Linked DNA regions of Drosophila melanogaster. The protein of the gene in region 3 purifies or fractionates together with the protein of the main gene of each other region. This does not show direct contact. Each region holds a gene or a part of one and is shown on either strand. Other genes may lie near its edges.

Region 1 (7,089 bases), 4.4 Mb from region 3:
CGCTCCATCTCAACTTTATAGCGAAGCTTGTGAATCATATGTTTCCAAAACCCAGATGGCGAGTCCGCTTTCATTTCATCGGCAATCGCATCCCAGATTCTGTCTTTGAGCTCGAAATTGAAGAAATCTTTGTTGCGCTGATTCCACAAGCATTTGTGATCTTCATACAATGCGATTAACTTTAATTTAGCCTTGGCGGTCTTCATGAACTCCGGGCTAGGTGAGAAGGTGATGGGGGTCTTTCGCAAAGAAGTGGCGTCTGTATAAGTGTAGGAGCCTGTGCTGGAGTCAAAGGACGTTGTACTCTGTTCCTGACGCTTAAGTTTTGCAGCCAGTAGGGCTCGTCTTCTTCCCAACGATGGCTTGTCGGAGAGTGAAAAGAAATCCGTGCTGGAAGCAACGGAAGTTTTACTTTGAGCTCTGCGTTTCATAGTCCTAGAATTGGATTTACTAATAATTTATATTTGATTGACAATTCGACATATTTTCCAAAAGCTATGGGTGAATAATTAAGTAATCTGCCCCAGTAGATTCTATTATTGATATTATGCTTTATTGTGCAAATTGTTGTGTCTTACGTCTTATAATTGATAAAATTATGTTAATAATGAAGAAAATATAGAGGACACGGGATGAATTGACGGCACTTATTGTCCGCTTTTTTGTTTTAACTGTTGTTTATTAAATGAAAGAATCGGTTTAATACATATTACTTGAGTTTTATTCGCACTTAAAACAGTTTCATAGTAGAGGCAATCTGTAGAGCATTTGGACAAATTCAAAAAGAACAAAAATTGAAGGAAACGCATGCATAGCCAGAATTAAAAATAAAATTGTGTATAATTATATATATAAAACTCTTACAATTTCTCGCTATCGTTCGGCTACATAATTCACTTTTAAAGCTGCACACTCGATATAGTCAAAATATAATATAAACAATTTGAAAAGAATTGAATAACAATACCATAATTCGATTGCTTCCGTTGTGAATTTGAGTGTGTTCACCTACAGGAAGAAGGTTGGGATCAGGCTTCTTGACTGGGTGTCTTAAGTAGGTCCAGGACCATTTACTGGGCCAGCTCCTTCATGCGGTTGAGAGCGCTGCCGGCCTTGAACCAGCCGATCTGTAGGTCGTTCAGGGTGTGGTTAAGCTTGATCCTCTCGACCTTGTCGCCATTCTTGATTTCGGCATCTACGGGCTTTCCAGGCGCAAGGGATTTCAGGTTGAGCAGGGAGATTTTGCTCGTGGGCTGGATCTGTTGAAGTACAAAGATATGGTTAATATGACCTTAGTCACAGAAGCTAAGAGTCGCAAACCTTATCGTAATCAGCGGGATTGGCGAAGGTGAGAGGCAGAAGACCCTGTTTCTTCAGGTTGGTCTCGTGGATACGGGCGAAGGACTTGACGATAATGGCACGACCACCAAGGTGACGGGGCTCCAAAGCGGCATGCTCGCGGGACGAACCCTCGCCGTAGTTCTCATCGCCGACGGCCACCCACTTGATGCCGTTGGCCTTGTAGTCGCGGGCTACGTCGGGAACTCCTCCCCAGCTACCGTTGCGTTGGTTCTTGATGTTGTTCATCTCGTTGTTTTCGTAGTTGGTGGCTCCGATAAACATGTTGTTGGAGATGTTGTCCAAATGGCCACGGTACTTCAGCCAGGGTCCGGCAGCGGAGATGTGGTCAGTGGTGCACTTTCCCTTAACCTTGATCAGCACAGTCAGATCGGTCAGATCCTGGCCGTTCCACTTGTCAAAAGGCTCCAGCAGCTGCAGACGCGTCGACTTGGGGTCGACAGCCACCTTGACATTTTCGCCGCTCTGTGGGATTTCCATATTGATTCTTAAGAACAATATAAATCAGTTTGGGAATTTAAATGTACTTACGGGTGGGGGAGCAGTGTAGGTGTCCTGGCCGGGATCGAAACCCTTGGCGGGCAGCTCGTCGCCGAAGGGAGCCTTGAGCTTGAACTTCTTGCCATCAGCACCAGTAAGCTCGTCGGTCAGCGGGTTGAAGTCCAGACGACCGGCGATGGACAGAGCGGTGACCAACTCGGGACTAGTGACAAAGCAATGGGTGGCCGGGTTAGCGTCGTTCCTGCCAGTAAAGTTTCGGTTGTAGGAGGTGACAATGGTGTTCTTGTCGCCCTTCTTAACGTCCTTACGATCCCACTGTCCAATGCAGGGACCGCAAGCGTTGGCCAGAACGGTACCGCCGAACTTGTCGAACACCTCAGAGATGCCGTCGCGCTCGATGGTGGCACGGATCTGCTCTGATCCGGGAGTCACATTGAAAGGAATCTTCGACTTGAGGCCATGGCTCATGGCATCCTTGGCGATGCTGGCGCAGCGACCCATGTCCTCATACGAAGAGTTGGTGCAAGAGCCAATAAGACCTACACGGATGTCCATAGGGTACCCGTTCTTCTTCGAGTTCTCGCCTAGCTTGCTGATGGGATGGCCCAAATCGGGAGTGAATGGTCCGTTAACATGGGGCTCCAGGGTGTCTAGGTTGATTTCAATCAGCTCATCGTACTCGCAGTTCTTGTCAGCGGACAGAATCTTGGCCTGGTACTTCTGGGCTTCGGAGGCAATGCCAGCACGGCCTGTCGATTTCAGGTAATCAGCCATGCGCTGGTTGAAGGGGAACAGAGAGGTGGTAGCTCCGATCTCAGCACCCATGTTGCAGATGGTGGCCATGCCTGTACAAGAGATAGAGTCAACACCCTTGCCGTGATACTCAATGATGGCACCGGTGCCTCCCTTGACGGTCAGGATATCGGCAACCTTCAGGATAACATCCTTGGGCGAGGTCCAGCCGCTGATCTTGCCAGTCAAATTGACACCAATCACCTTGGGGCACTTCAGCTCCCAGGGGATGTCGGCCATCACATCGACGGCATCAGCACCACCAACGCCAATGCACAGGCCACCCAAGCCACCACCGTTGGGGGTGTGTGAGTCAGTACCAATCATCAGCAGGCCGGGGAAAGCGTAGTTCTCCAGAATGATCTGATGGATGATTCCGCTGCCTGGCTTCCAGAAGCCCAATCCGTACTTTGCACAGGTGCTGGCCAAGAAATCGTACACTTCCTTGTTCAGGTCCTTGGCACGGGCTAAATCCTTGGGTCCACCAATCTGGGCCTCGATTAAATGATCACAGTGAACAGTGGAGGGCACAGCCACCTTTTTCAGTCCGGAGGAGATAAACTGAAGCAGAGCCATCTGTGCAGTGGCATCCTGCATAGCCACACGATCGGGGCGAAGACGCAGGTACGAAGTACCGCGCACGATGTCCTGGTTTGCGGGATCGTCCAGATGCGAGTACAGCACCTTCTCGGAGAGAGTCAGTGGGCGGTTCAAGCGACCGCGCACCACTTCCAGGCGCTTGTTCAGCTTCTCGTACGGCAGGTAGACGTCCGAGTCGAACTTGGACAGAGCCACTTTGGAGGCGGTGTAGCAGGAGGCGTGGAACTGACGCACCACTGTGGCTTCGGACGCAACATGCTTGCCCAGTCGACACACCTGGAAAGCAGATAAGAAGTCGAACTGTTAAATATGGTGAAGTGGTACATTTAGCAATCAAGATCAAGTAATTAACACAATGTGATTCTCTAGTTTATTTGCACTTCGCACACTGTGAGATTTTATTTATTCGCTTGGTAGCCCAATAAACACTTGATTATCATGTCAAGAGGACGAGTCCTCGTCACTTTAATTAAATTGATTCCTCTATCAGGAAATGATAATTCCCAAAGATATTCTGACAAGAGTACAATCATGTGGGGACCATATCTGTGAAAATTCTTCTTTACTGTACATTTAATCTTGCATACATATATAACAAATGTAAAACATTATTATCACCGCTTTCACTTGTTTTAAGATCAATATATTGCTAAAGCTAATAAATTTTAATCGTCTTGAAATTTTTGAATAGCCAAAAATAATCCATTGATCCATTTACCGCTTCAGAGTGAAATTTTTCCAAATATTTTTTTGAGATTAGTAAAATGATTGAAAGTTTACATTTAACAATCAAAGTATTTTAAGTGCTAGCCAAAGTGCTTTAAGGTTCTTCGAACTGCAGAATAAAAAAATAAAAAGTAGCTGGAAATATAGTTTGTTTGTAAGCCTTTCAAATTGTTACAATATTCTACAGAACACTCCAATTAGAAGAACCACGTGACGACACGACTGTATGTACATACACGCAAATCGAAACAATTGCAATGACAATTACGTCAAATAGGTCGTTAACTTATGGGCAGAGTACAGTGAAACCTTTCTCGAAGCTGACGTGGAAAAACCCCACTTGAAAGGCAAAACTCCTCCAATGCGCGTGATACTCAAGTTAAACGGCGCAACTTTTTTAAGCTATATTTAGTGCTGGCATTATCAAAGTGTAAGTAAACCTGTCACAGATAAGACGGTCCTCCGCCACAAGATATATGCTCTAGAGGGTGTTCGCCTCCTGGTTAAATAACTGGACCCCGGCGATTATGTAAATGCAACTATGCCAACCATCGAACCCCCACGAATCGCTGTTAATTGTTGAGAGCTAACGATTTCGCATGGTTCACTGCTGCGTATTCAGTATACATGTTTGGGATGCAGGGCCTGTAGAATCACAAACACTGCGAACTCGGTTACCTAACCACTTCGAATTTTATGATTTTAGGTTAGAAAACGCTGTGCGAAAAATTTGCTATTTTTCGCTGCCCACATCCTGCTGGGTGTGTAAGAAATGGGCAATGATTTTTTGTAAACTTTCGCGCAGTGCTCTGTCCAGTTGTCTTTATCGCAGCTTGGAATTTCGGGGTTCCATTCACAGATTCTATACGTAAACGTATATATAGCCGTGGTTATATATTGGCCGACTGGAGGCACAGGCTCCGCTCTAGAACCTACCTGTGCCTGGGCGTTCATCAATCTCGCAGCCATGGTCGCGTCCTGATTAAGCGATACTCGAAATAAACCCGACGAAATTGATATTGCAGCAAATGCTTCGAAGCCGTCAAAATTTTCAGCCCTCTCAGCCGGAAGATTTTAAGACAGACTAAATTCTTTACCACGGCGACCAGTGTTAGCTGGCGTCACGCATACGCGTCAGCAATGTTCCGCCGGCTTGTTTCCCGCCAAAATTGGGTCGTTAAATAAATAGGACCATAGAAAGTTTATCAGTTTTGAATTAAAGCGATAAACATTTATTAACTTCAAGAGAATTAATGGACTCTATGGCGTTAAAACTTAAATCGAAGTAAATGCTGAAATAATGCACTGACGACAACTTATTTTTCTGAGCAGGGACTTGGATTAATTTATCCTTTAGCTTTTTTTTAGCAGCCAGCGCAGACGACTACCGCGCTGTGCTGTCCAACACTGCCCATTTGTTTGCGTGGGCGGGTGATACTTTCCCACAACTGCGCGAATAATAAATAGGCTCGGCTGTGAAAAATGTTTGACAATGGCCAGTCAGCATTAGTCCTGATCCCCTTGCCATGTCCGAGCGTCGCGTAGTGCATGAGATACCCGGAGAGTACCAGCCAGTGCCCAGAGCACCGGAAGAGCCAACCCCTTTGACCACATCGTGTTGCCGGCGTCCCAATTGCGGCCTAGGGCTCCAGGATGAGCGAAATATCTGTTCCTGCAAGCACGGCTACATCATACCAGTGCTTATACTCTTCGTTCTGGTGATGATTGTGCTTCTGTTGCCTTGGGAGACCTACCATCGAAATGAAAACGGAAACAGCCCCGTTCCGGTGGAAAAGCCGTTACCATGTCAACTCGAACTGGTGGAGAGCTTGCCCTTGGGGTTGAACTACAGCCAATGGCAAAGCCACCCCCAACTGAGTAGCACCTTTGATGCCTGGCAGCTACTACTAGGCAGGGCCAAGGCATCGTTGGACATCGTTTCTCCGCACTGGACACTGCGCGGCTTGGACGTCAACGATAGCAGCACCGGGCCTGGAGATCAACTCTTTCAGCAGCTACTGTCGAATGGAGATGCCGGCAGACCCAAGCTGCGCGTGCGGATTGTGGTTAATCGCAGCCACGATAGCCTGTGGCATGCTGATGCCCGTATCTTGGCTAACTACGGAGCAGCCGACGTCGTGGGCATTAATTTTCTGCACTCAAAACTGTGGTTAGTGGACGGGGAGCACTTCTACTTGGGCACAGCTAGCATGGACTGGCGATCACTGACGCAACGCAAGGAACTAGGTGTGCTGGCCAGAAATTGTCCCCATCTTGCTCTAGATCTGGGAAAGATCTTCAAGGCGTATTGGTACCTGGGCAGCAATGAAGTGCCAAAGAGCTGGCCGTGGATATACCACACGCACATCAATCAAAGAAGACCGCTTTTGCTAAACATCAACAAAAAACATACAATGAGAGCTTATTTATCCACATCACCACCAGAGTTGATCGCTACTGGAAGGACCCGAGAGCTAGATGCCATTTTAGAGGCTATCGACAAGGCCACAGACGTTATATACCTCTCCTTAATGGAGTACTCTCCTCGGCTAAGACGGAGTAACAAATTGGAGTACTGGCCGGTCATAGACAATGCCCTGCGTAGAGCTGCCTTGGAACGCGGTGTGGCCATTAAGGTGCTTATTTCATGGTGGAAGTATTCGGATCCCAGCGAGGATCACTTCTTGAGGTCCCTTCAAGCGCTCGACAAAATTACGGAAGGAGTAGATATACAAATGGTAATGAGCTTATAAGTATTGGCAATTTTATTAACAATTTCTTTGCTCTTGCAGCGACGTTTTGTTGTACCCACCACAAATGAACTGGAGAGGATTTCCGGCGGTAGAGTTAACTGCAACTCGTACTTAGTCACCGATAGGGTTGCCTTTATAGGCACCTCCAGTTTTTCGGGAGAGCATTTTACTTACTCAGCTGGCATTGGATTAGTACTCCAGGACATGGAATACAACAATAATAGTCTCCGTACAGATTTAATGGCAATTTTTCTGCGGGACTGGTTTAGTCCCTATGCATTGCCACTGAAACCAATTTTACGAATTTGAATTACGCTTTTAAACCTGCCGGCATTTTGCAACACCGCCACCAGCTGTT
Region 2 (4,661 bases), on a different chromosome or scaffold from region 3:
TCAGGGGGCTGGGTGTTCGGATTTGGGTGCTTGGGGCTTTTGCCAGTGTGTGAGTGTGTGGAAATTCGGAAAATCGGAAAAGAGAACTTCGGTTTCCGCGCACCGAGGGCCGCCACAGTCATTTGATCCCAGAGCACGCACCGAAAAAAAAAATTGAGTCAAAAATTCCGCTTATATACCTGACTTGATATATAGCGCCTGTGTGTGTTGCCTATATTATTGTCTTCATTTTTTTTATTTTTTTTGTTCATTTTTGAGGCCTTTTGCCAAAATCAACACGACCGAGGCGAAACGAAACGATACGAAACGAAAATTTTCATTGACGTAATTGTATTTGGCCGTTTGGCGCTGTCCATTTTTATTTTTAAATTTATGAAATCATAGCGCTCGCACCAGTTTTCATCTCAAATGAAACGCATAAAAATATGGCGGTTTTGAGATATTCAAGGTGTTGTCAAAAGCTTCAATAGCAGGCAGTGGCGAGATTGCAGTTGTAAGATGATTGTAATGACTCGACTGATTGACTGACTGATTGACTGACTGACTGACTGATTGATGGATGGCGCATCGAAGCGAAGCAGAAAGGCTGAAAGAACTTGTGGCGTTCGGATGGACCGAAGCTTATGTAACCTTGCAAATAACAATCAGGTGATTGCCTTTTTTAATTTTAAATTTTAATTAAAATTTTAAACGTTTTTTTCTAAAAAACTAGATTGAAAGCATTGACATAAACTTTTGAACCTGAATTTCATCTATGTTACTATTCCAGTTTCAAGAATGTTAAAAATATCTTTTAGTTTCATGGCGGATAATTTGTTATGTAAACAATCATAATCATTTATCTATATTATTTGAAATATACTTTAAATGGTAATAACAGGATATCTTAGTTCAATATCCACATTTGCAAGGCCACCGATTTCGGAAGCATTAAGATACAGATACTCGGCTGTGTGAAGCAGTTAGGCGGGAATCGGCTGTAGATAGTACAGTATGTGGTCCGTATATGGTACCAACTTACTTGTTCGGCTGTAGTGATGATCGTAGATGGCACGGGGCGAGTAGCCGTAGGTGTCGCGGCTCACTGGCAGATATCTGTAGCCAGAGGACTGGACGCGCTCATTGGCGGTGGCGGGCTCGTCATAGATGCTCCTGTAGGAGGGCGAGTCCAGGTAGGAGCTGTAGGGACGAGAGGCACGGGGCGCCTCGTGGGCACGGATATCCTCGGAGCCTATAAATAGTTGTTTGGATAACGACGCGTTAGTTCATTGCTTTTCAAATATTTCGGCTATTCTATTCTCACTATTTGGCTCAATGCCAGCGCTGCAGAAATGTATGATTTCTATTCGGTTTCTATCATAGATGCGCCCCCTGTATGTGTATCCTATATTTTAGCCTATTCTTTGTTTAAGGCCTGAGCATATATATTTTACAAATTTCTCTCTATATATTCGAATATACTATGGCGAAAAGCTTTCCCAGCAGAGCGTGTCTAAGTATATAGCTTGGCTGATATGACACCTGCCAAAATAAATAGACTATACACATATAGGCTAAGCTATTTGTGTTGCTCACTGGCGACCAGAGTTTAATAATATCACTTTTGAGTGTCCCTTAATCATATCGAAATGGGAACACTTCGAGTTAATCTTCAATTGTTTTTTGAATTATTTTGGAACTATGCAAACTCCCTACTATTGTGACTAAGCAATCAATAGTAGTTTTGAATAACTATCCTATCTTTTAATGTAATTTTTGAGCTTATTTAGTGAATGCTTACCCTTCAGGGACCTGATGTAGGACTGCCAGAATTTCGCCTTCTTGCTGGGGCTCTCATTGCGCCCAATCATTTCCAAGTGGTTTTTGAACATTTTGATCGATTTGTTTTGTTCTGTTCACGAAAAAATCGTTGAACTCGTTCGCTGTAATAAAGTTGGGAAGAGAGATGGCTTAGCAATTTTCCAATGTGTTTCAAATTTCCTTTCCGCCTATTTTATTTTATTTTTTTTTTTTGTCCGTTTTCAATTTAATCTATTTCCCGGGAAATGCCAGGCAGCACGCACGAATTCGAATCGCTTGTCTCTCGATTGATGGGATGTTTTCTCAGTTGAATTTTTTGCTTTCGCGTTGAAAGTCTCTCGGTTCGAAAATAAACAGACTGTGTGCCACTTTAGAGCAGTGCAAAGTTTATAAAACATATACATAAAATCTAATATAATACCGCGATCGGGCAACAGCAGCTAACGCAAGATCAATCTCACTAAAAATAAATATATTTCGGTTCGGTTTTTGTGATTTTTCATGTATCGTGGTATTCTCCTGGTTGCTCGAATATAAAAATATTTTTTTGTTGCATAGCAAATTTCACACTTCTGAGTATGAGAACAAATATTCTAGGTGTCGTCAGTGTGTGCGTGTAAATGGGTGAGTGGATGTAAGTGTATCTGTGTGTAAGCTGCAGCTAAATTGGGTTTTATTTTTAAATGTCCTTGAGTTGAAATCGTTCTGTTATTCTGGCTTTTAGCGGAATTTACTTAAGTATCGAAGAAGTGTGCAAAGTCTAAGAACAATTTAGTTGAAGTATGTTTAAAATAGGCCTTTATTATCCATTAAACTAAATTAATTTTGAATTTAATTCAATGTGGGATTTTTGTTTTTTATATTTCACTGCACAAACTCTTGATGAGCTCCAACACTTCGGTATCAAATGTCATTGAGTACGATCTCTCTTATATAATTATAGTCAATGTCTTTTCGCTATGGAACATATCGGATCATTCATAATGCGATCATAATTCCATAATTATTTCACCAGTTAATTGTTCGTCTCCACATTCAGATGTGATGGTGCACTTTATTTAATTTGATTTTATTGTTTTTCATTTCGTTTATAATTATTTAATTTACTATTCAGTTGTATGTTGTTTAATATGTTTCGGGTTCGCTTACAATTTAAATTTACTCCTAAAAAATAGCGATCTATCCTCAACGAAGAATTTTTTCAAACTGCAAACCCCAAGAAAATTCGCCTCACCAATTTTCCTCGTTTCAGAATTTTGCCATTCCGTTTCGGCACCAAAAGCACGGCGCATTCCTTTACGGCGTAGGTTGCTCTATCCGTGAGCGATTTTCATCGCATCTGTGTGGCAAAGCTCCGGAGATTGGTTATGGGAAAGCTTTCCCACCACATTCTGATAGATCGTGTGGTGGCACCCACTCATTGTTTGCAACGATTCAATACCGAAATCGCGATGACGCTGGCGATGATCATAAAAAGAAAGCCAGCCAAGTCATACCACACATACACAATACATATGAGCCCATATTTCTTTCAGAAAATCCCACACCCTATTTTCTGTTTTTGTTTTTCCTATGGTTTTTCATAATTTTAACATATTCTTTGAATGTTTCAAGGGAAAGGCGTCACTTGTGGTATTGAATTGATCAGTGAACTATAAGCTCTAACTAATACATTACAATATTTGGTTTTTTGTAACTAACTAATTCAAAATGTGGTTAGAGGCCGATGGAATTTTTGCCATAAAAGCATTTAAATTCCGTTTATTTGTTTATGTTTTCTTTTGGCTTTGGCATTAGCTATAATTTAGTTTCCTGATAATGGAAAAATCATTTCCAGCAACATGCCCACACAGGTAAATAAACAAAACTGGTCCAGATACATTTAACCAAATAATAGATACTTTAAGCACACAATATATTATTTATAATGAAATCTGTATGAATAGTTTGATATTTTCTAGCTTGTTATGTAAAATTTGCCGTTAATTGATTATTTAAAACATTAGTAACTCATTTTTTTCGATTATACCCTCCTGTAGGGTATATCTTTTTTGCTCACGTGCGACCCAATGATTGATAATCTAAACACAAATTTTCCAGGGAAATTCCTACGAAAACGAATAAACAAAGATGGGTAAAGCTTCCCCCATCATATACAATTACATCGAAACGAGTTGAAGGGCAGATCTGGGAGTACATATGTTTCTAATAATAGTAAATACATTCATGGAGATCATGTTGACCTTTTCAATCGTGCAGATCGCTTACAGAATTTCCTGCATGTGTTTTCTTTTTCCGCCGATAAACTCAAGGCCAAATGCACTTGCATCCAAATGTTCTTTTGACTTTGTTTGTTTAGCTTATATAAATCTTGTTTGTGAATTTTACCCTTAAACAGGCGGGCGGCGTCATTTAAACTTGAACTTGACTTTGAATGAACCGAATGCGGTTTGATGAACCAAATCGAAAATCAAATGAAAATGCACAAAAACTCACGGGAAATTGGGAAATACCTGGCAAAGGTTTTTCTTTCGGCCAATCAGTGATTTCGGTGATGTGATTCAACTTTTACTTTCTGGCACACTTTTTTGGCTTCACAGAACAATGAATTGAGCAACTTTTTATTTTACTTTCGTTTTTTTTTCAGGTTTTTCATTTTAATTTATTTTAGTTTATTGGCGCTTGATTGTGTTTGTTCCAACATCTTTGATGTTTTGCTCAAGGAGACACAAAAATTGGCTAGGAATTGCATACCCTTAAAAGGAATCTCAAATAAAATTTAGTTATTTTAAAAATATTTTAATTGGCCTAGCGGCTTACAAAATAATTATCTTAGAGAAATTTATGTCCCTTGGGAAATG
Region 3 (5,254 bases):
AGAAAATATACATAAATTAGCCAAAAAATATAAAAATACCAGTGTATTCTTGTTTAACGATTGGCCAAATAGAATGTGCATTAAGAGAGCATTTCGACCCTAATAGTTTTCTACTTTCTCTCTCAGTAATACAATCTTATTGTGATGTTTCTGCGTAACGTATCGACTCTTTCTTTGTTGGATGTTTTTAGTGATGTCTACCTCCACGCAATGAACTAAGGAATTTGCAGCAACCCAGGATGATTTGTGGTCATCTTTGTGCGACTCAGATGAGTAAGGCCTATATAGATCAGCCAACAACATTTTTGACAGACGCAAAGAGTATGCTGCAGTCGAGTTTGACGACTAACAGATACCTATTGATAGAAATTGCCAGGACAATTGTTTTATAAATATGATTGGTATCTCTTATTTTTAATTTGAGTTGCCCGAGTCAAAAATCTGAAGAAGCTTTTTTTATTCTTTTTGACCTGCGAGCTACAAAAACCAGGTCCTCGCATAAAACAGATTTTATATCATTTTTTAGTTCTTTTTTTATTATTTAACTTTTTTGTGGATGTCACAATTCTCATCGGGTTTGAATTAAATATTCCACTTTTTATTTAAATTAAATAATAAATTGTCCTATTTAAACTTTATAATTAACATAATTGTAGTTCTTTAGGTCTGTACTATGTTGATTTGTAGTTGTAGTTGTTGCTGCTGCTGCATTTGCGTGCCGGACTGTGACTGAACACAATAATACAGTTTGACATCCTGCAGTGGTTGTGGGTAAGTTGATGGACAGCACCATTACTTGGTCGCCGACTTCAGGTAGGCGATCAGATCGCCGCGCTCGTTGGGCTTCTTCAGACCGGCGAAGATCATCTTGGTGCCGGGGATGTACTTCTTGGGGTTCTCCAGGTACTCGAACAGGGTGTCCTCGTTCCAGGTGATGCCCTTGGCCTTGTTGGCGTCCGTGTACGCGAATCCGGCCGCCTGTCCGGTCTTGCGACCGATCAGACCATGCAGATTGGGTCCAACCTTGTGCTTGCCACCAGCCTCAACGGTGTGGCACTGGGCGCAGCGCTGCACGAACAGCTTCTTTCCCTTCTCAACATCACCAGCAGGAACGCCCATTATGGATTATGTGGTTAATTAATGTGTTAACACGGACTCGACTGTAAAAAGAAATGTTTGTTATTAATGAGTGGTTCATAAAACAAGGGTAACCAATATATCTGTTATCTTACATCTTAGGTTTGAAAAACTTAAAAAACTGGCTACTAAATGGTTCAAAGTTCATAACTGCTACCAATTAATTTGTTCTATTCTGATAAATTGATTACAATATATATTTTATATCATTTGCTTATGTACTTAGTCCGAAATTCTGGTTTCACTGCAAAAAATAGTTATACGATATTTGATACCATTTATTATTAGCCCCAATGAACCATTGTGTAGATACTGATAAAAGCTTCACTTTCAGCCATACATTATCAAAAGATTATTGAATAAATAAACCCGAAATTTAAAATTTATTAACCAGTTGATTTCCCAACGTTACTTATATAATATTATATATTTTTAAGGTATTAAAATAATAACGTCTTTATATCATCAAAAATTTCCATGCTTGGGAAATAATGGGTTAATGTAGGTAGTTATGGACCGTGAATTAATATTTGTCCCCTTGCCCCGTTATGTAAACAATTGATAAGCTCCCTGCGGAAACGGAATTATTAAAATTGCTCATGCTAAGTGCATTAGTCGGCTGTTGTTTCTGATAAGGCCCGAAATTATTATCTAACGTAGTCTGCATTTCCATTTGCGGCCACCCCCTTTTTAACCCACATACTTTGCTCTCACTAATACGCGCGTGGAGGGCGTCGCAACGTCATCAGAAACACACTTTGAAAAAGCTTCAGACGCTGGTCACATGTTGCCCCCACACTCTTTCTCTCCTTCTCACACTCTCTTTGTGTCTCACTCGCTTATATTTGCCAGTCGCCGATTAATTGCGTCAGAACTGCTCAGCAACAGGCGGAAAACTTCCAGGAAGCATCATAATACGAAAAACGTTAGTTGTTTACATAACTATTCTATTATTCCAGGGTCTGTGTTACGGTCATCCTGCTAATTGCCGGATTATAAATTGCATGCAGCAATTTGAACTTGAGAGTGCAAAGTACCGTTGCGGTGAGTAATTCACCTACACATCACGCACATAGACTGAGAGAAATTCGATTAGCTGAAGCTCTTTCAATTCTAGAAAACTAATTTTATTTTATATGCATTTGTCTATAAAAACAAACCTAATATATATAGACTATTGATTTTGTGCGCTTTTACACATAATTTGCATTTAATATCAACCTTTTTTTCACTTCTTTCTGTGTAGAGTATCATGCACTTTGGCAGTGAGAGGTGGCAAAGCAACAACAATGTCAACATCCGATTTGGCCTTGTTGAGTATTTTTCAGTTAATTGCCGTGCGTGAGTGTGCGTGAGATGAAGGGAAAGTGCAATTGGAAAATTGGAAGCAGGCCAAAGGCAGCTGTGTTTTTCCTTGTGTGGGTGAGCAAGGTGGTGAGAACAAAGAGATGAGTGAAAATTGGGCCAACATCCAAGTTTCCTGAGAGCAGCGAATGTTACATAAGCCGCCTTTTCGCAGAGGTGAATTCTCTTTTATTTATATTATAGAAAACTGCACATCGCAGAAAGCAAAACCTGCTTAGCAACCACGTGGCGCGCTTAAAGACTCCAAAGCTGAAGCATTGACAAAAAATCCAAGAATTAATTTTTGCCACTGAGCGAGCGAGACAGCTGATGATCGGGTACGCCACTCTCTTTGCTCATGTAATCGACTCTCTCCGGGGCTTTTTTCAATGGCAATGTGACTTTGGGATGCTATTTTTACTATTAATACACCACTGCTAATATTTGCTAAATAAACTATTAAATATCTAATAAAAAATCACACTTATACACACACACACAAGGACACGTTTATGTAACCTGAATCATCCCCCAAAGAATACGTTAAATTTGCATGCGAATCATTTTCAGAACAAAACACAGCTGCTGGATGTTACGTAAATGACACGGAAGTGTTTCTAATCTTTATCTGACTTGGGGCTTGATAATCAATAACTATTCAAGGTAATATTTACGTCACTTGAAAATACAAAAATTCCACCCACTACTTACATTGAACACAAACGTCGAGCGTCGCCGATTTTTCACGAATGACGAGCGCGCGTTATGTCGATAGGTAATTAGTGTGACCAGAGTGACCGGGGGCCACGCATTAAAAAATGTCGCAAGCTTTTGTACCCGTATTTATCCACCACACGGCGTATAAGTAATTTTTTCCCCTATTAACGGGACTATATTGGAAAGCCTCTGGAAAATTTGCATTATTTAACAAGCTTCTCCAATTTATTACATTTTGCTAGTAGGACCATAAAACCAACTGTGACCAAAGCTGATTGGTACAACACTTTCCTCCACCCGCGTCGCACACAACTTGAATTAAGAAGAGGGTTTTTGGTTTATCAACTTTAATTGGCTAAAGTGAAAGTAAACCTTTTTGAAATGTATTTGAGCTCGACCATTCCCAATCAAAGTTTCGAAATCCAAGTGAAATACGTCATCTTTTGAATATGTTTGTAGTCTTTAAGCGCAGTTTTCTGGATAGCATGGTGGCCGATCTTGTTGTTTCGCAGGCGATTCTACTTGTTTGACTTGAGGAAGGCAATCAAATCGGCCCGCTCCTCAGCCTTTTTAAGACCTGCGAACACCATCTTTGTTCCGGGAATGTATTTCTTCGGGTCCTTGAGGTACTCGTCCAAATTCCCCTCTGTCCAGGTAACGCCCTTCTTTATATTGGCATCGGTATACTTGTATCCCGCTGCTGTGCCACACTTGCGACCCACGACCCCGCCAAGATTTGGGCCCACCTTGTGTTTGCCGCCCACTTCGTAGGTGTGGCACTGGGCGCACTTCTGCACAAATATCTTCTTGCCGTTCTCTGCATCACCAGAACCCATCTTGGAAGCCTGAAAGACAAATAGGGAAAAATGATATTTATGATTTAGAATTCAACTTTTTATGCAGCTTTTATTTCTATATTTTTTAATTTTTTGTTATTTGTTTTTTGTTAATTTGGATCAAATAGAAATTGGTTGATTCCGAAACTATCATGAAAAAGAAAAGTGTAGAACTAAAAATTTGATAGAAAAGAAAAACAGATTCAATTTGTTTCAGTGTCCTAAAAAACCGTTTGAAAAGTGCAAGTCCTGGACAACTGAGAGAGAGAGAGAGAGCGTTTCTCTTGGTCACTCTCTTGGCTGCACAGCGATAGACAGAGACAGCTGCTAATGCACGAAAGCAAAACAAAATTGGGTCAGAAAAATAGGAAAAACGAAAATTAAATCAAAATGGGTATTAAATGAAAAGCAAACAAGCAGCTCGAGAACTTGTCGGCACTTCTAATGGGAAAAGCAACCGAAAGGTAATTCAATTAGCAGACACATTCGGCTTGCCACCCCCTTTCCCAACCAATTCGTTGACTAGCAGATGCACATGTGCTTTGAACATTTCCTTTCAATTAAAACGCATTTTACGCACTCTCCGCTTTCGCCCCCTGCCTTCCCCTCTCTCAACCATTTTCCTGTGGCAAAAACAGATGCCACCGCATAACAAAACCAAAAAAAAAAAAAACAAAGCAGAGGGAAATGAATAACGGGAAAGAGACATGGAACCATGCCGCATACAACGGTCACACAGGGATGATATTCACCTGCAATTTAAAATTTAAAGGATCAATTGAAAATATTAACTATGTTTATCTCAACCAATTATCTTAAAATTAAATTTGTTTTAAATTTACAAGAGTGCATTATGATATTTTTCAGAGAATGATATTATTTATATATTTATATTACGTACGTATGTAAATGTCACATTCTAAATCCAAACAATGACATTTTCCTGGCAGCCCTGCACTGGTATTAGGTGTACTCCCTGTGCATCCATCTACATACATACATACATATATCCCCAATGGGACATCCTGGTTGTGACCTAACCTAATTGGCAATGGAACCATAATTTACCCGCAGGCTAAACTATCCTGCCTGTTGGCCCGAGTTCTTTTGCCGGACCACTATAAATAAATGGTGCAAGAAATTAAATTACGCTTGAACGGGCTCGGCCGAACATGGGGTAGTAGTAGGAAAGAGATAGCCTGCGGAAAGGTTGTGGGGAG
Region 4 (5,198 bases), on a different chromosome or scaffold from region 3:
TATTTTTCCTGTGTGTGTGTGTGTGTATCTTTGGGCTAGTCCTTTTCACTTGGAATAATATATTTTGGGTTCACTTTCGATTCGAGAAATGCTCGCGGAAATATATTTTGAAACGGCGTAAATGACAATATTTATATTTTGACTTGGCGCACTCACGCTCACTTACTTCACTGGCACTCTGCTAATTTATTTGGATTTTTGCTGGTGCAAATTTTTAAAAAAAGCGAGACAGCTCCCGCTCGGTCGGCTTGTCGGTTTGTTATCTCGATTTCAACTGATTCGTAGTCGTCGTATTTAACCGAAACTTTTCTGACACTTTTTTGATTCGACGTCGACGCAAAAGCTCAGCGGAATCTCAACCCCCAAGCTATTTTTGTGATTAGTTTATAATTGTTATTGTTGACTAGACGAGGAAGGTAGATACCAGGATGCGGGTATTTCCACCCCTTCTTACACTTACTATTTTAATATAATAAATAAATAATAATTACGAAAGTAGAGACAAAAACCATATTAACCAAGCTCTAAGCTTAACAAACATTTCGAAAGCTCTCTCTCGTTGAGAAAAAGCGAAAACGACATTTTAGTACACGGTATTTTAGTCTTTCGCCTGCTTCTCGTTGGTGGTTTGTGTCTCAGCTGAAGTATTGCAGTCTGCGGCGAAAATATCTAGATATTTCTTTGTGGATTCAGTATAAGATTTTTAAACTTTCTCTATTACTTTTAGTTTATTAAACAAGTCAGCCACATCTTGTATTAATATTGGCTGCCTATATAGCATAATCCCAAATTTTCCACCACCCTGATCTTCTTTTATATTGATTGTGCAACACCTCATCGGCCGCACAATTATTCTTAGTGTTTATTTAAATACATTTGACTTATTTCACTTTCACACATTCACTTGGTAAATTGAGAACGCAAAAAGGCCACAATTTACACATTTGGCGTTTTGCTAACTGCCCTTTTTGGACGCTTTCGGATGTTGAATTTGCCTAAACATTATATTATTTGCTATTTGGTTTATTCACGTCTCATATAAAATAATCATTAACTATTGCTTTGCTTTTGGCTGAACCAACAAAATAATTCATAACAAAATAATGTGCACAAAACTTTGAATATTTTTCAGTTTTTTTGTTTTCGTTATTTTATAATTTAAATTTTTTTATTTTTTAAAAAATAATATTATCTTGAAGTTCAATTTTGCAGTTGTAGTAGCAGAAGTAATTTTTAATTAAAATAATATACGAGAGAGATAGAGAGAGTTAGCGATGAATATAACATCTATGGAGAATGGTTGTCGCTAAAAGTTTGTTGGTGTTGTTGTTGTTGTTGTTGTTGTTTGTTGGTTGTTGTTGAAGCTGTTGTTTTCAACTATTTTAGCTGATCTGGTCTGTCACACATTCTGGCGAGGAATGCTGTGGAGTAGACGAAGAAAAGGGCCATATTAGCAAGGTATTCCCCAAATTTGTTGGACAAGTAGACATCCAGAGATCGGCGAAGTGGCCATGGGCTCCATCCCTACTTACTGTTTAGTCGAAGACGACAGGATCGCTCATCAGGCGCTGGACGAACTCTGTTTTCATTCAATTTCAAGTGGATCGGCGACAAACGGCGGGTAAACAAGACGCAATCACCGTGCAGAGACCATACGTTTGACATTCGGGAGTTGGTCGGTTTTTTTTTTTTTTTGCGAGTGTAGTGTTGGAGGAATGGACACGCAAACATGGATACACGCATACACATATTTTTAGGTTTGTTGGTGTTTTTCAGGTCGAGTTGGTGGTACAAAGTGCACAGTGCAGAATGGTGGGGATTTTTTTGGTTTGTGCGCAGACAAAGAGTGACATGTGGAATAGACAAACGGCGTTTACAAATCGTATATGCACAAAAAACATTAGATGAGTATCGTCCATTGAACGAATACTTACGAGAGTAGGGGATAAATCCTTCATCATCCTCGGGATCCATGCAGTCAGCGAACAGGGTCTCCACCTGCTCGTCATCCAAGCTCTCACCTGTAATGCACACAATGATTTAGAGGGATATCCCAGGATATATGCATGTTGATTACTCACCAAGCGCCAGCAGGGCGTGCTGCAGCTCAGCCAGCAGCATGGTGCCGTTCTCCTCCTTGTCGTAGAGCTTCAAGCACTCAATGAAGTCCTCGTAGCAGCCCTGCTCCTTCTCCTTCTTGACCTGTGAGTAGATGGGCAGGAACTCATCCAGCTTGATCTTCTTCTCGTTGCGCTTCTTGGTGCCGCCCAATTTCTCGATCAGCGCCAAGGTGGGGTTCAAGTTCAGAGCGCGGAGGGCATCACCTAGGTCGACGGCATCAATGCCCTCACCGGGGGAGCCCATGACTTCGAAAACGAATTCGACATCTGCGCAAAAGGAACTCGATTAGCATTTACATCTTCATGTTCATGTTAGTCGATCAAACGTAAATCCCATCAAATTTTTGTTTTTATTCGTTTCATTTTATTATGCTGCCTCATTAATTGTTTTTAAAAATACTTTAGCAGAGGTGGGTGTTGACCACCCTTTTTATTTTCGAAAACGGGGTCGATGTGGTAACCCTGAAATTTCTGGTACGCACATTTTTGGTCATCATGAAAATCTTGACATGGCTGCTGGGCATTGCCTACTTAGTGTGTGAGTGTATGCGTGAGTGCGGATCTGGGAGAGTTGCCAGCCCCGAGAACACACTACGTATACGTAATCCGACACCCGAACCGAACGCCTTCGCCCTCGTCTGCGCTATATACACAGTATATAGGCGTATATACACACACAAAGTCGCATAGTTTGCTCATCTCTTTCGCTGTGCGTTTGATCGAAAATAAATCTAAAGAAATAACTTGGCCAAAATTAGATCTCTAAACGAGAAGCATTTCGGCTCGAAGACGAGGATCGCGCGTTCGGGTTCGCGACATATACACACACGATTTTCATTGTTTTCCGCGGCTTTTCTATAACGCAAATCAAACTTAACTTTGCACTAGATTTTCTCTACCGGAATTGTGTTGGCAACCTTTATCCGTTCTGGTTTTGGATGGTCGATCGATGAAAATAGCTCAGGCGATGCATATAGACGACAGCATTCCTTAATGAAAATTTTCCGCATAGTGTTATATATATAGGCATGCGTATATGTATGCGATATATTCCAAGTGATTACGAAATATGTTCACCGACTTTTGTGTACTTTTTGTTGTGTATCTCACACGCGCACATTATGTAATCTGTATTTTTATGGATATTATAATACTTGTTTTTAGTCCTTTCTGCTGGGTTTTCCGTTACCTCGTTCATTTAATATGTTGGTTTAACTTTGATGGATTTCGTTTGAGGTTAAAGATAATCCTTTTCGTGCGGGGTTTTAACTTACTTTCAACTTCACGCTTTGGAACATCAGCCTGTCAACGGAATCGAAAAAGATTTGAGAGTTTGGCATTAGTTCGAGTGTGGAAAATCTTCAGTTTTCAGCTGCTGCATATATTTATGTACATCTATATCACTGGATATTGGTGGAAGATGTGTGAAGACTCCTTGGCCGACTGGGCACTCACCATTTTGTCTGTTTGATGCGAAAATCAACTGTATCGCGGATGAGCTCGGTCTCGACTGAACGTTATTCGTCAGTGGCAGTACGGCAAGGTAATTCTGAGGTGAAAGCCAACCAGCCGATCGCCGAGCACTCAGACACAGATACAGATACATTTACAGCTATAGCTTCGAAAACGAATTCAAAAACGAATACGAATACGAATGGATGACGAAACGCTCGCTCTTTTCCTGCGCAAGGCTATACACACACCAAAATATATGCTGTAGTATGTGCGATGGCAAGAATTTACTTTCATCTTGGGGGAACTTTTTCGAATGCCACTCTCTTTTGGGATCCCATGGATCCCAACGACCACCAGATATTGGGAGGCTCTCCTATGGAGCCAGAGCCATTTGTTGTCCGCTCTCTAGCCGGGCTATTTTTAAGCATTTTGTTTTTTTTCGGCTATTCTGTGAATATTTCTTTTTATTTCGTTCGTGAAGGCAAAATAATAATCGCTTGTGGCATTCCCAGCCGGATAGTGTTGAATATCATTCGATGTTACAGATGATTTTGCAGATAATATAATATTTTCTCATTCAGGCGGGAGGAGAATGGGTTTGAGAATTGATTGTTTAGCGCTGCGCAATAGATTGAGCTTCCATGCTGGGGTTTTACGGGGTATGTTTAGATGTTTAGATGGGGCTATGGGGCTATGTACTATAAATGTGGCCTATACATGTATATATTTATACACTCATCGACCCTGATCGTCTTTTTGGCAAACGTACGTATTTCTCAGGTCTTGCCTGTTATCATTCGAAATGTTTTGTCAGCCGGTCGTATGTGGGGGTGTTAAATGGCCGATTTCTTGTTTGTCCGCTGCCAGAACACCTGAACACCAGCCTTTTTCAATATTTATACACTATACATGCTCCAAAAGCATACTATTCCTCGTTGGCATCTCATCTACATAGAAGGCGCATTACTGGCCCCTCAGGCGCCTTCTTGTGCCTTGTGTGTGCCGCCTGTACAACATTTTAATGCGTGCTATTTATAAAAACTATGACACAGATACATGAAGCGTATTCAGAGCAAAAATGTACAGCAACAACTAAATGCTCGAATTGTTTGCATAGGCAAATGGTGGGTGGTAGGTATATAATGACCGATCAAGCCTGAAGGGTAAGCGAGGTGCTTAAAAGGCGGCAAATCTGGCAAGGAAGTGGCAATTAAGCCAAGCAGGCCATTGGCTTTGCCGGCACATCCATTTCCATGCACCCATGTCCTTGACTTTCTATGTAAATGTAGATGTACACACGTCCATGTTCGTGCCATCGGACAGGTCCTTCTTTGACCCAGTTTTGAGCCCAGCTGTGTGCCCAACTTCCGGCTGATGCTCATCAGACCCACTCTCTGGGCTGTCCTGTCTCGTCCTATCTCTCAATCCATTGAGTCCTCGGCTCGGCTTTTGGCCGCGCAGCCTCCCTGGCCTTGTTATTGTTTACTCCTTGGGGCACCACCTGTTGTCAAGCGGGTAACTGGTGCATGAGTATTTAGGCCGATTTGGTCCTTGATTGAACATCTGCTATCAGCAGCCGATTGTTGCCACGAATCTGCGCAGATTAATGTGCGCAAGTCATTG

The links.
Region 1: the proteins of Cyt-c-p (region 3) and mAcon1 purify together in Drosophila melanogaster (affinity purification with mass spectrometry, with the first as the bait; one large-scale study listed by BioGRID). This does not show direct contact.
Region 2: the proteins of Cyt-c-p (region 3) and Mf purify together in Drosophila melanogaster (affinity purification with mass spectrometry, with the first as the bait; one large-scale study listed by BioGRID). This does not show direct contact.
Region 4: the proteins of Cyt-c-p (region 3) and Mlc1 purify together in Drosophila melanogaster (affinity purification with mass spectrometry, with the first as the bait; one large-scale study listed by BioGRID). This does not show direct contact.

The regions. Positions count from the first base shown.
Region 1 is NT_033779.5:21,166,630-21,173,718, reverse strand, and holds mAcon1 (mitochondrial aconitase 1), read right to left. Parts: upstream 5,150-7,089; 5' UTR 4,948-5,149; coding exon 4,915-4,947; intron 3,529-4,914; coding exon 1,891-3,528; intron 1,825-1,890; coding exon 1,321-1,824; intron 1,260-1,320; coding exon 1,071-1,259; 3' UTR 535-1,070; downstream 1-534. Other genes in the region: CG31627 (uncharacterized protein), read right to left, coding at 1-431; CG43345 (uncharacterized protein), read left to right, coding at 5,505-6,716, 6,771-7,040.
Region 2 is NT_033777.3:15,177,259-15,181,919, forward strand, and holds the start of Mf (myofilin), read right to left. Parts: upstream 3,013-4,661; 5' UTR 2,950-3,012; intron 2,093-2,949; exon of another isoform or gene 2,064-2,092; intron 1,923-2,063; 5' UTR 1,872-1,922; coding exon 1,781-1,871; intron 1,232-1,780; coding exon 1,022-1,231; coding exon of another isoform or gene 963-1,021; exon of another isoform or gene 1-962.
Region 3 is NT_033779.5:16,717,915-16,723,168, reverse strand, and holds Cyt-c-p (cytochrome c proximal), read right to left. Parts: upstream 3,238-5,254; 5' UTR 3,193-3,237; intron 1,161-3,192; 5' UTR 1,120-1,160; coding exon 793-1,119; 3' UTR 525-792; downstream 1-524. Other genes in the region: Cyt-c-d (cytochrome c distal), read right to left, coding at 3,717-4,034. UniProt on the Drosophila melanogaster protein: Electron carrier protein. The oxidized form of the cytochrome c heme group can accept an electron from the heme group of the cytochrome c1 subunit of cytochrome reductase.
Region 4 is NT_033777.3:27,656,535-27,661,732, forward strand, and holds Mlc1 (myosin alkali light chain 1), read right to left. Parts: upstream 3,644-5,198; 5' UTR 3,579-3,643; coding exon 3,576-3,578; intron 3,423-3,575; coding exon 3,395-3,422; intron 2,388-3,394; coding exon 2,082-2,387; intron 2,022-2,081; coding exon 1,935-2,021; intron 1,580-1,934; coding exon 1,536-1,579; 3' UTR 1,533-1,535; intron 1,422-1,532; coding exon of another isoform or gene 1,378-1,421; 3' UTR 544-1,377; downstream 1-543.